Linked DNA regions of Macaca fascicularis. The protein of the gene in region 1 interacts with the protein of each later gene in a pairwise test. Links are inferred from orthologs where the notes say so. Each region holds a gene or a part of one and is shown in the gene's direction. Other genes may lie near its edges.

Region 1 (4,426 bases):
AAGACCGTATCACTGGAGGTCGAGAGTTTGAGGCCCGTCTGGGCAACATGGTGAAACCCCGTCTCTACTAAAAATACAAAAAAAAGCCAATTAGCCGGCCGTGGTGGCGGGCGCCTGTAATCCCAGCTACTTCGGAGGCTGAGGCAGGAGAACTGCTTGAACCCGGGAGGTGGAGGTTTCAGTGAGCCGAGATCGCGCCACTGCACTCCAGCCTGGGCGACAGAGCAAGACTCCGTCTCAAACAAACAAACAAACAAACAAAAAATCCCACAAAAATTTCTGGTGTAGGCCATTTATCCCAGCTACTCGGGAGACTGAGGCAGGAGAATCGCTTGAACCCGGAAGGCGGAGAATGCAGTGAGCCGAGATCGCGCCCTTGCACTCCAGCCTGGGCGACAGAGACTCCGTCTCAAAAACAAACAAACAAACAAACAAAAAATCAGCGCTCGGGGCCCCCTTCCATGGCCGGCTCTCGGGGCCGGGTCGCGGGTAAGGGAGTTTACCCTAGCTCGCTCTAATGTGCAGCCGCGCTGAGTGCGGCGGGCGACGTGGGGCGAGGGGGCCCTGGAGGAAAAGGAAGCCTGCCTCGGGAGGATGCCGGCCCCCGCGCGGTCCCACTCAAGGGGACCCACTTCAGCCGCGCTCTCTGCCAGGGCCTGCGGCCAGGGTGCCAGGCCCTAGACACCTTCCACGTCCAGCGTGGGTCGTCACGGGTAGGTGCGCCTCGGCATCGGGAGGAGGGAGACGGGGGCACTGGAGTCTGCAGCGCCGCCCGGGGCAGGGGCTGGGACCGAGCGCGCGCCCGCAGCTCCGCGCTCCCGACTGCAGCAGGAGCCCGCCGCGTCCCCCGACCCATTTAAAAAACTTAACACTCGGGCGCCCACGTATTCACTTCCCCCACCGCGCTTTAGTTGAGAAGGGTTTTGTGACTTTTCCACTCGACTGCCGCCAACCGGGCTATTACGCCGCTTCGGACCCCATAGTGGAGACGCGGGGACCAGAGTGACCACGCATTCTTCGGAGGTAGCTTTCTTCATCACCCGCTAACCCGCCACCTTTAAAAAACAGGCACAAGGCGCAAGCGAGAAAGTCAGAGGCAGAGAGCGGCGGAGCACATGCTAGAAAGGTAAGGAGCACATTCAGCACCAGGTAGGTGGCTTTTCCCTCCGGCTGGGAGAGCCCTGGGCACCCCACGCTCTCCCTGCGCACCCGCGGCTGCTCGGCACCCCGGTCTCGCTCTCGCTCCTGCCCCCACAGCGCTTCCCTCGGCGGCCGGGGAAACGGATTAGGTCGTCCGTGTACTTGGGGATGCACGCGGGAAAACCCCGGTCCCCCCTTCCCGCAACGTCACTCCTCCTCCGCGCCACGGCCCGGCTCCGCCCTAGGCTCCGGGGACACCTGCAGGGGGCGGGGTGCCGGGAGACCGGAAACGCGTGGCTCCGGGCCGGGGCGGCCAGCCTCCGCCTCCACCTCGCGGGCTCTTTAAGGCCGGCGGTTTCCGCAGCCAGTCCGGGGCGGGGAAAGCTGAGCGCGCGGGCCCCACTCGGGGCCGCCTCCCGAGCCGTAAGTACCGGCGTGGCGACGCCTCCGCCCGGCCTGGGCGAGTCCTGGGCGCTCCGCCGGGAAGCTCACGGCGCCCCGCATGGCCGGGGGGTCCTGAGAGGCCCTGTGCCCCCCTCGCCTGGTCTCCCTCTCACCCCTGAGGGGATGCCGCAGCTCCGGGGCCCGCGGGCAGGAAGGGCGCACTGGTCGGCCCGGGAGAGGGGTGAGTGGGGGGCAGCTCTAGGGGGACCTCGGGGAGGCCTCCGAGCTCCTGCTGTCCCCGTGAGCCACTCGGAGGCCCCCAGTGTCGCTCCAGTCCCGGGAGGACGGAACTGCGGCGACCGTATATTTCTGGCTTATCAAAACGCTAACACCCAGTTTAAGGGCAGGTTCGGTCCCATTGTTATCACTATTGAAGCAGCCGATGGAGGAGGGGAGGTAGGTGGCGAAACCGTAACAAAAGAACCCGGGCCGCCCGGCTGGCTGCAGCTGCAGTCCCGACTCCCGGGTCTGGATTGGAAGCGCTGCTTTCTCCGCTGCCCTGGGGCCCTGGGCGGTCACCGCCAGTTCCACCGCCTGTGCAGCTCTGAATTCACGGAGTGGTAGCAGTGCAATGTGTAGGGTATTCTGCGGAAGTTGGAATGTTCTGGGCTTTTTTTTTTTTCCTTCCCCGAAGACATCCGTTGACACAAATGCCGAGCCAAATCTCACTCAGGTTCGAAAGAGCCATGCAAAAGAAATTGGACAAAGGCTTCCTTCACCTGTTTCTTTTTTTTCTTTTGAACTTGTAAAACAACCGTAAAAGCATTTGGAGTTAGTTAAGAGATAATGTATCTTGGCCAGAGCGTCACCCAGGATTCTTTTGCACGACAGGTCTGAGCAGAGGGCAGGGTGCAGGCGGAATGGCCCTGGTGCCCTATGAGGAGACCACGGAATTGGGGCTGCAGAAATTCCACAAGCCTCTTGCAACCTTTTCCTTTGCAAACCACACGATCCAGATCCGGCAGGACTGGAGACACCTGGGAGTCGCAGCGGTGGTTTGGGATGCGGTAAGTAAGCCCTGTGGGACCTCTGAAAACGTCCACACTTGCTTGTAAGACTGACTTTTAAAATTATTTTTAAAACAGCCTTATTGAGATGTAATTCACATACCATACACTTCACCTTTTTTTTTTTTTTTTTTTTTTTTTTGAGACAGAGTCTCGAGTCTCGCTCTGTCGCCCAGGCTGGAGTGCAGTGGCGCGATCTTGGCTCACTGCAAGCTCCGCCTTCCGGGTTCATGCCATTCTCTTGCCTCAGTCTCCTGAGTAGCTGGGACTACAGGCGCCCGCCACCACGCCAGGCTAATTTTTTGTATTTTTTTTTTTTTTTAGTAGAGACAGGATTTCACCGTGTTGGCCAAGATGGTCTCGATCTTTTGACCTCGTGATCCGCCCGCCTCGGCCTCCCAAAGTGCTGGGATTACAGGCGTGAGCCACCGCGCCCGGCCAGCTTCACCTATTTAAAGTGCACAATTCAGTGCGGTTTTAAAAATTTAGCATATTCCCAGAGTAGTGCAACTATCACCGCTTCAATTTTAAAACAGTTTTACTATGACTGCCATTCCAAACCGGTATCCCTTACGTCACTCCTCTTGTCCCCCCACATAGATTACATTTTTAAGGTGAGTAAATGAAAGCTGAGGAAAGTTAATGACTTGCCAGTAATTACCCACTGGGTAAGAGAGGATCGGAAGGAAAGCTCCCAACTGCTTTGGACACGAATTATCTCTCTCTCTCTCTCTTTTTTTTTTTGAGACGTAATCTCTCTGTGTTGCCCAGGTTGGAGTGTAGTGGCGCAATCCCGGCTCACAGCAGCCTCCCCTTTCTGGGGTCAAGTGATTCTCACACCTCAGCCTCTGGAGTAGCTGGGGCTACAGGTATGCGCCACCACACCCGGCTAATTTTTGTATTTTTTGGTAGAGATGGGGTTTCGACATGTTGGCCAGGCTGGTCTGGAACTCCTGACCTCAAGTGATCTGCCCGCCTCAGCCTCCCAAAGTATTGGGATTACAGGCGTGAGCCACTGCCCCGGCCGAGTTAGTCTCTTTATTCACAGAGTATTGTAAAGTGGCAGAGCCCAAAATGAAGATTATGTGTTTTAAGTTTTCCATAGTTATAATCGTTAAAAAATTGTAACTGCTTTTTCACTTCTTCCTCTCGCAGCAATGTTCTGACTTGTGCCCCTAGCATCTAGCCCAAACCTAGGACTCAGTGGGAACTCAATGTTGAATGCATGATTGGCATAAATATAGTTTGACAGTTTTAACATTGTTAGGGATGTTAAACACGTAGGAATAAAAATCTCAGTATCATAGTAATACCACTTCTAGGAATCCAGTCCAGGTAATTACATGAAAATTACTCTGGTAATAATAAAGATATAGGCCTGGTGTGGTGGTTTACACCTGTAATCCCAGCACTTTGGGAGGATGAGGTAGGTGGATCACTTGAAGTCAGGAGTTCGAAACCAGCCTAGCCAACATGGTGAAACCCCATCTCTACTGAAAATGCAAAAATTAGCTGTGGTGGCTGACACCTGTAGTCCTAGCTACTCGGAAGGCTGAGGCAGGAGAATCGCTTGAATCTGGCAAGCGGAGGTTGCAGGGAGCTGGGATTGCACCACTGCACTACATCCTGGGTGACAGAGTAAGCGTACATCTCAAAAAAAAAAAAAATAATAATGATGGGAAGTCTCCTAAATACCATGAGGAATTGCCAATTATACTCACAATATGTGGCTGTGAGAAATAAATTATAGTAAAAGTTATGTTAACTTTACATACTTCTTTCTGTAGGGTCATAAGCAAATGCTAAACCACACATCAAGTATCCAAAACTTTGGC
Region 2 (4,285 bases), on another chromosome or scaffold:
TTCGAAAAGTAATGCCCAGCCAGCCTGGCCAACATAGCGGAACCCCATCTCTATTAAAAATACAAAAATTAGTTGGGCATGGTGGCACACACCTATAATCCCAGCTACTCAGGAGGCTGAGGCATGAGAATTGCTTGAACCCGGGAGGTGGAGGTTGCAGTGAGCAGAGATTGCACCACTGCACTCCAGCCTGGGCAACAGAATGAGACCCTGTCTCAAAATCGTAATGCCTAGGACATTATTCAGATTGAGCTTTGATTTTATTATCTCAATAATAGCTGCCTTTTCGAGAATTATGTACTGTAATTGTCATAATGTTACCTCCTTCCTCAAAAGAACTTCATGGGGTAATGGATGATCTATCAATTTTACAAAAAGCACATGGAATTAACTCCAAGTAATCTGCACAAATCCTAACCGTTGTAAGTATTGGAGTCAGGACATGAAGCTAGCTGTCTCGGATTCTGAAGCCTATCCCCTTCTCTAGTATTTAAGGCCCTAGTTTCTTGACCAACAAGGCTGGTCTTATAGCAGTTTCTTGCATCCACAAAAACTTATGCAGCCCCTCAATATTTACCAGGCTCACCCTCAGCACCTGAAAATGATGTATCTGGCCCACGTTCTTTGACGCCCCACCACTCCTCACACACACTAGCCTTATAGAATGCTTCTAACAATATTGTACAAAAATGAGTAAACTCATTTAAGTTTATAAGAATTCTGGAAAGACCCCCAAACAGGAAAGGGCTATATTCCGGTTTACTTCTTTCAACAACGTTTCCTAGTCTCTACTTGGGATTTTTCCCTAAAACCTCTCTAATATGGGTTTATTTCTTTGAAATCATGTTGTTGAAAGAATTTTAAATAAAAATCTTTCCTCTGAGATGGATGATGATAAGGAAATTCATCCCCATGTTCCCACTTAAGGAAAGGCGGGGGGATCACCCTGCATGGACAACAGTACACAAGCTATGGAAGCTCATCCTCCACTGCTGAAATGTCTAATCTGAGATTACAATGAGCTTCCTTCTCTTTTTCTCTCATTTATTCCACATGGAACATGGTAATTATCAAGCGTTTTATCATCTCCAAGCTCAAAGCCCAACACAATATAAAAGTTTCAGTGCTCTGCATGTTAAAAAGAACTATGTGTAGTTTGTAGCCCCTTCCATTCCTGAAATTGTACGGTTCATCCTCTCTGGCAGACACAATAAACAAACGATTTTGTGTTCCACGTACACAACCTCAAAGAAAGGGGGAGGGCCAGCGCGCATGCTCAGTACTCAAGCCCGCCAGCCCATCCCACAGCCCTTTGCTACTGCGCCTGCGTGTGGGAGACGCCTCGCCCAGTTTACGGGCGGGAAGCACCCTGGAGAACCCGGATGGAACTCGGGCCTGGCTGAGGCGGAGGTTGTTGCGGATGCTCGTCTCTGCAGGCGCACCGCAGATTCCTGCTGGGGGGTCAGACCTGAGGAATCGCCGTCTCTACTGGTTCTGACGGCCAGAGGCTGGACCCTAGGCTGAGCGGAGAGCGGAACTGGAGCCTGAAACAGGCGCCTAAAAGAAGCCCGAGCATCCCATGGGCCTGCGCCTCAGGCTCGGAGACGGGCGGGCGGAGACAGCACTGAGTCTTTTTCTTTTTTTTTTTTCCTAGCCGCTGGCGTTCCTATCTCACCCTGGAGGGTGTAAAAATCTCCGTCCTTAACAGTAACACCATCAGGTCCTATCAATTAAGAGCTGCTTGTTATTTGCATGCATTCTTATAATTAAACCTCCCAACAACCCCGTAAGGTAGGTACTGTTATCCCCTCTGGAGGAACTGAAGCTTGGAAAGGTCCCAGCCTGTAAGTGACAAAGCCACGATCCCAGGCGTTTGCCCCTGGAGCGTCTGCCCAGCCACCAAGTTCCTGCCCCCTTTCTCCTGGCTATTAATTTTAACTGCAAAATGTAATGCTTAAATGCTCTGCCTCCCCAAACACCTGCGCCTACCATGATCTTGCATACTCAGTGGCTGGATAGAAGTTGAATTGTATTTGGTTTGGAGTTTCAGGTTTACAACTGCACTTTGGTGTTTTCACTGCTGGAATGAATATATATATATGTGTGTGTGTGTGTGTGTGTGTGTATTAGCATTCCCTAAATGTTTTGTGAGTGTTCACTTTTAACTGATTTTTCTCAATTGTAATACTTTTTCATATCTACCCTTCATAAACTTGCCAAAACATTTTACTTTGTGATATCAGATCTTTCATTAAGCCTCTGAAGATAATCTCTCAAAAGAATCATTCTTAAAATGAGTGATATCTATCTATCTTAAGATAATGCTTTTTTTATTATGGAAAGTTTCCGAAATACATAAAAATCGAATGGTGTAATGATGTGTACCCATCATCCAGCTTCAAGAGTTACCAACTTAAGGCCAGTCATTTCTTTTATCTCCACCCCGCTTTGTGCATGTTTGTGAGTGTGCTGAAGTATAGTATTTCAAAGGAATCCCAGACATCTTATTTCACTTGTAAGTAATCGTGTCGAACACATGAGGACTTTTTAAAAACACAACCACAATACCATTATCATGCCTGTTTAACAATATCTCATTATGATGATGATGCTTTTTAATGTTTACATTTTTTAGGATATTGTAATTCCTAAATACCACAAAAAGCGCAAGTACAAATTGTGAGATTCTAAAACAAGCCTCTTGGGCAGTAAGTTCATCTTTGAGGCTCTGGAAAATTCTTGCCACTTATTCTCCCTTTTTCAGGGGGATGGAGAAGAATACCATAAATTGATTTTCCTAAAACTTTTGTTCAAAACAGATAAATTTTAAATTAAAATATACTTGAGAGACATAGTCAAGGTGGATAGGAAATGGCCTCTTAACAGATCTTGTAATGATTTCTGGTTTGTTCTGTTTTGTTTTTGAGACAGTCTCACTCTCACCCAGTCTGGAGAGTGCGGTGGCGTCATCTCAGCACACTGCAACCTCTGCCTCCCAGATCAAGCGATTCTCCTGCGTCAGCCTCTCCAGTAGCTGGGAGTACAGGCACCCACCACCATGCACAGCTAATTTTTGTATTTTTAGTAGACGAGTTTTCACCAAGTTGGCCAGGCCAGTCTTGAACTCCTGAGATCAGGTGACCCGCCCTCCTCAGCCTCCCAAAGTGCTGGAATTATGGACATGAGCCACCATGCCCAGCCTTTTTTTTGAGACAGAGTCTGGCTGTCCTTAGGCTGGAGTGCAGTGGCGTGATCTCAGCTCACTGCAACCTCTGCCCCCTGGGTTCAAGCGATTCTCCTGCCTCAGCCTCCCAAGTAGCTGGGATTACAGGCATGCGCCACCACACCCAGCTAATTTTTGTATTTTTATTAGAGACAGAGTTTCACTATGTTGGCCAGGCTGGTCTGGAACTCCTGACCTCAAGTGATCCACCCACCTTGGCCTCCCAAAGTGCTGAGATTACAGGCATGAGTCACCACACCAGGCCCCTCTTGTAAAGATTTCTAATGTGACTAAAAACATTTTCCTCTATTCCCTCTGCCTCCCCAAATATTACATGATAAATATACATTAATAGAATACAGAAAAATAAGCATTTTATGGTAATGTCATAATTTTATTGTCATTAATTAGAAGTGGTTCTAAGCAAAAGTAGTCATGTAGTCTCATTACTTGACAAATGAAGGCTTAAGATCAGCTCTTTAAACTTCGGGTTGTCTTTTTTGATTGGCAGATATCCTCCAGTTTAACAGGCTCATAACAACCGTGTAACAGATCAACTTATTTTATTGGAGTACACTTTACAACTAGTTCATCTTGGTAGATCCACTTGAAAGCTAATGCTTTAAGTAGATATTCTTGGCTTGTGATTTTTCTTTTAATGGCCAAAGTGGGCATTCGGATTTAAATGTATACCTGTTACTTTATTTCAGCCACATTCTCTGGCACAGAACTTCGGAAACTTTGGGGATCACTTATTTATCTTGGAGATAGAATGTTTTCTAAGGTCTATTTGAGCCTACCTGTGGATTATGCCTTTACTCATTGCTAAAGAGACAGAAAGAGAAAAGACATGGTTTTCATTTTAGGTTTCAACTTTCATAGGAGGATGTCATCAGCTCAGAAAACGTAGAAAATTTAAATATCTATTCAAGCATTGGGACCATTCACTTAGACACCTAGAATATTTGTTAGCTAAGGATTGGTTTGAAGGATATGTTTTCATTCCCCTAAATCTGACTACCTAACCAGGATGTGTTTCAGGATTGCCTGAACAACATTATT
Region 3 (3,647 bases), on another chromosome or scaffold:
TTCTAATCAAATCTTCCATATCTCATTCATTTTCAGCTTTTACTAAAGAGATAAATGAGGTCAGCTGGCTACTTCAGCATAGGCCACCAGAGAGCTCCATTTATATGAGTTTCATAGGTCTAAGATTCAGTCTGAATGACCTGCAGCTCTGAAATCTCAATGGTCAGCAATTCTGGAATAATGACCCATACTACCCGACACATGTGAAGCTAATCTGTGGCAGAAAGACAAATTGTAAATGTATAATTGTATTAGTCTGTTCTCGTGCTGCTAATAAAGACATACCTGAGAGTGGGTAATTTATAAAGGTTTAATGAACTCACAGTTTTACATATCTGGGGAGGCCTCACAATCATGGTGGAAGAGGAGGGAAGAGCAAAGGGATATCTTACATGGTGGCAGACATGAGAGCTTGTGCAGGGGAACTCCCATTTATAAAATCATCAGATCTCATGAGACTTACTATCACTAGAGCAGCATGGGAAGGACCCACCCCCATGAATCAATTACCTCCTGCCAGGTCGCTCCGATGACATATGGGAATTATGGGAGTGATGATTCAAGGTGAGGTTTGACTGGGGACACAGTCAAACCGTATCAATCATGTGGAGTAGACCTTTCCAATAAGTACTATATTTGCTATTCTGAATGCCTGTCCAAATATCGATGTACATAGCAGAGAGAATTAGCAGTCAGAGTAAGTGGTAGTTCCATAAGAAATAAAGAATCAAGGCAAATTACTCTTTTGCAGTCTTTTAAACATTTTGTATTTCAATAGCGTTAGGGATATGCGTGGTTTTTGGTTACATGGATGCATTGTGTGGTGGTGAAGTCTGAGATTTTAGTGCACCTGTCACCTGAATAGTGTACACTGTACCCAATAGGCAGTTTTTCATCCCTCACCCCATTCACCCTCCCCTTTTCTGAGTCTCCAAAGTCCATTATATTACTCTGTATGCCTCTGCATACCCAGAGATTAGCTCCCACTTACAAGTCAGAACATGCAGTATTTGATTTTCCATTCCTGTGTTACTTCACTTTAAATAATGGCCTCCAGTTCCATCCAAGTTGCTGCAAAAGACATTTCATCCTTTTTTGTGGCTGAGTAGTATTCCATGGTATATACATACCATGTTTTCTTTATCCACCCATCAGTTGATGGGCACTTAAGTTGATTCCATGTCTTTGTGATTGTGAATTGAAGGTAAAGAATTTTGATTAGGCTGTACATATTAATGTATGAAGTCATCCCCATATTTCTAAAGTGCTAAACCTTTCCTATGCCCAAATATTTGCAAGTGTCAGACTCAGGATTTCTCTTCCTATAGTGGCAGGTTACTGCCATTAACTCTATCTCTTTTTCTTTACTGTGTACCATTGATCTCAGACCTTTGCTTTGGGCTGCTACTTTACACTGTGAACCTAATTCTTTCTAGGAAGAACTTAGGACATGGCTTGTGTGTGGTAGAACCATTAATTAAAAACGAATTAGCAATATCTAATGATGCCTTTTCAAAGACTGGAAGGAACCAAACCTTCCTTAGATTTTCCCTTTGAGCAACGTTCACTACCTGGTTTAAGGATAAAGGAAAGAGCTCTCATGCTGTTGCCAAATTACAAGATGGGTAAATCTTAACAAAAAAACACCACAAACTAGAAACCATGTTTTGCCATAAAAAAAAAATGGTATAATCAAAGTGATGTCTTTGTAAGCCCCTGGTGCTGGATGCAGTGGATGGAAACTGACAGTGGCTAATACCTGTGTCTTCTTGCCCAGGCCAGTGAAAGACGTGTTCACCTCATCGTGTCCCGCCAGGTTCGGCGGAGCCCTGACATCTTTCAGGAAGCCAGCTGGAACAGCAATGGCAGCTGGTCCCCAGGGCCAGGGGAGAGGAGCAACACTCCCAAGGTGAGGCCTCTAGGGCAGTTCCGCTGCTCCTGCAAGGAGCTATTTCTTGGGAAGGCTGCTTGCTTTAACATTTCTAAGTGTCATCTCAGGACTTTTTTACTTAAACAGACACTTTGACTTGTAAAACTAAAAGCCCAAAGTCCCATATTTAAGACTTGAAGAGATAACAGGTGTCTCCCATCCAAGCAGGAGAGAGGAAAGTGCAGGAGGGTTTTGAAACCTGATCATGCAGACCTCATACAGGAACCTGATTTCTAGCCTAAGCCAAATACATGTCATGTTTTTACCAAGAGTCATCTTTTTTAAGGACTGTATTTTATTCACTTTGAAATGAAGCAAACACTTCGCTTGGTTTCTGGCTTTTGAATTTTTTGGTCTGCCTAGAAATCAATGATTTCCCGGCTACTTTTAGTTTTTGTTTGTGTTTGCTGAAGGGCCCAGGAAGATAATTTAAACACTTGCAGCTCATGTAACATTAGGGAGTGTTGGGGATTGGGGCAAACCAGAGAGCACATGTTATATGGCATTCAATCCAGAAAACTCTAAAACACTGCGGATCTGTGGGTGGAATTCCTTCTTCAGGCCACCAGTTTGCAGCCTCTCTTTAAATGAAGTGACGCAGCCCAATTTGTACTTCTCTCTGTGGCATCTGTTAGATGCAATGCCTTAACCTCTTCATTTAGATGCGTGTTTAAGCAACACAAACCTTGTTTAGTCCAAATTAAGCGTCCTATGACTTTAGCTTGGCATCCTGTTGTGATGCTAATGAGCTTCTTTCAGTCATTTCTCCTGAGTTCTGGTTTCATGGCATCACTTGTAACTAAAAAAAATTCTTAACGGTAGCTCATTCTTCTTGCAACAGAGAGTAGGGAATGCCCTTTTCTTTCCACGTCAATCTATATGTTGGTTGGAATAGCTTACAAATTGAGTTTTTGAGTAATACATAGAGAAACAATATCAAATTTTTTTATTTTGGAACGTCTCTGCTGTATGCTGTGTTAATTACAGAGCCTACAAGGTTATATACCCTTCCGGGTTCTCCAGCCAGCCAAGCCTCATAAATCCATAAATTACATGTTTATTTACAATAAGGAGTCTAGACAGACCAAATATATTCCACTAAAACATTTTACGGATAAGGAGACTCCCTGATGTCTTTTTGCTAGTAAATGCTTAATATTTAAATTTAACTGATCATCTTTATTAATGGAAAACTAGTTTATTAACTTAATTGAAGTTTTTATCCAATTAACTAATTTTAGTTGAATTAACTAGAATATGTCATATTCTAAGTCATCAAATTATGGAGAAGGTAGCCTCCATCTGCACTGTGGTTTTATAATTCCTTCCACCTCCTCCTCATGAAAGAGCTGGGAGGATCTGATCACATTTCTGCTGCAACCCTCTGTCATGTGTCTTAATTCCTGGAAACATACAAATTGACTTAGTGGGAATTGTAATTATTTCCATTTTAACTTATATTCTATCTGCCTTCTGAAATATCCTCACAAAAAAGTAACATATTTAAAATAAAACTAAGACATATATGATTCTTTGATGATTTCAATTTTTATATTCTTACTAAAATTTTGTTTGGTTTAGGAAACTAGGTAGCTTTTTAAAAATAAGAGCTTAAACAATTCAAAGAAATACCAAAGAAGACAAAGCAGGATTTGTGGGACAGAAAACTTTTAGCCAATTAAAAAAGTCAAGGAATGATAGGCATCAAATTTTGCAT

The links.
Region 2: the proteins of METTL21A (region 1) and FAM200C interact in binary tests that used the Homo sapiens proteins (3 or more experiments, as listed by UniProt). The two-hybrid records come from large-scale screens. The link is inferred for Macaca fascicularis from reciprocal best matches to the Homo sapiens genes METTL21A and FAM200C.
Region 3: the proteins of METTL21A (region 1) and LNX1 interact in binary tests that used the Homo sapiens proteins (3 or more experiments, as listed by UniProt). The link is inferred for Macaca fascicularis from reciprocal best matches to the Homo sapiens genes METTL21A and LNX1.

Annotation. Positions count from the first base shown.
Region 1 is NC_088386.1:103,574,270-103,578,695, reverse strand, and holds the start of METTL21A (protein N-lysine methyltransferase METTL21A), read left to right. Parts: upstream 1-1,511; 5' UTR 1,512-1,707; coding exon 1,708-1,765; exon of another isoform or gene 1,766-1,980; intron 1,981-2,415; coding exon 2,416-2,591; intron 2,592-4,426. UniProt on the Homo sapiens protein: Protein-lysine methyltransferase that selectively trimethylates residues in heat shock protein 70 (HSP70) family members. Contributes to the in vivo trimethylation of Lys residues in HSPA1 and HSPA8.
Region 2 is NC_088380.1:167,167,812-167,172,096, reverse strand, and holds the start of FAM200C (protein FAM200C), read left to right. Parts: upstream 1-1,380; 5' UTR 1,381-1,791; intron 1,792-4,285.
Region 3 is NC_088379.1:80,430,810-80,434,456, forward strand, and holds part of LNX1 (E3 ubiquitin-protein ligase LNX), read left to right. Parts: intron 1-1,777; coding exon 1,778-1,909; intron 1,910-3,647.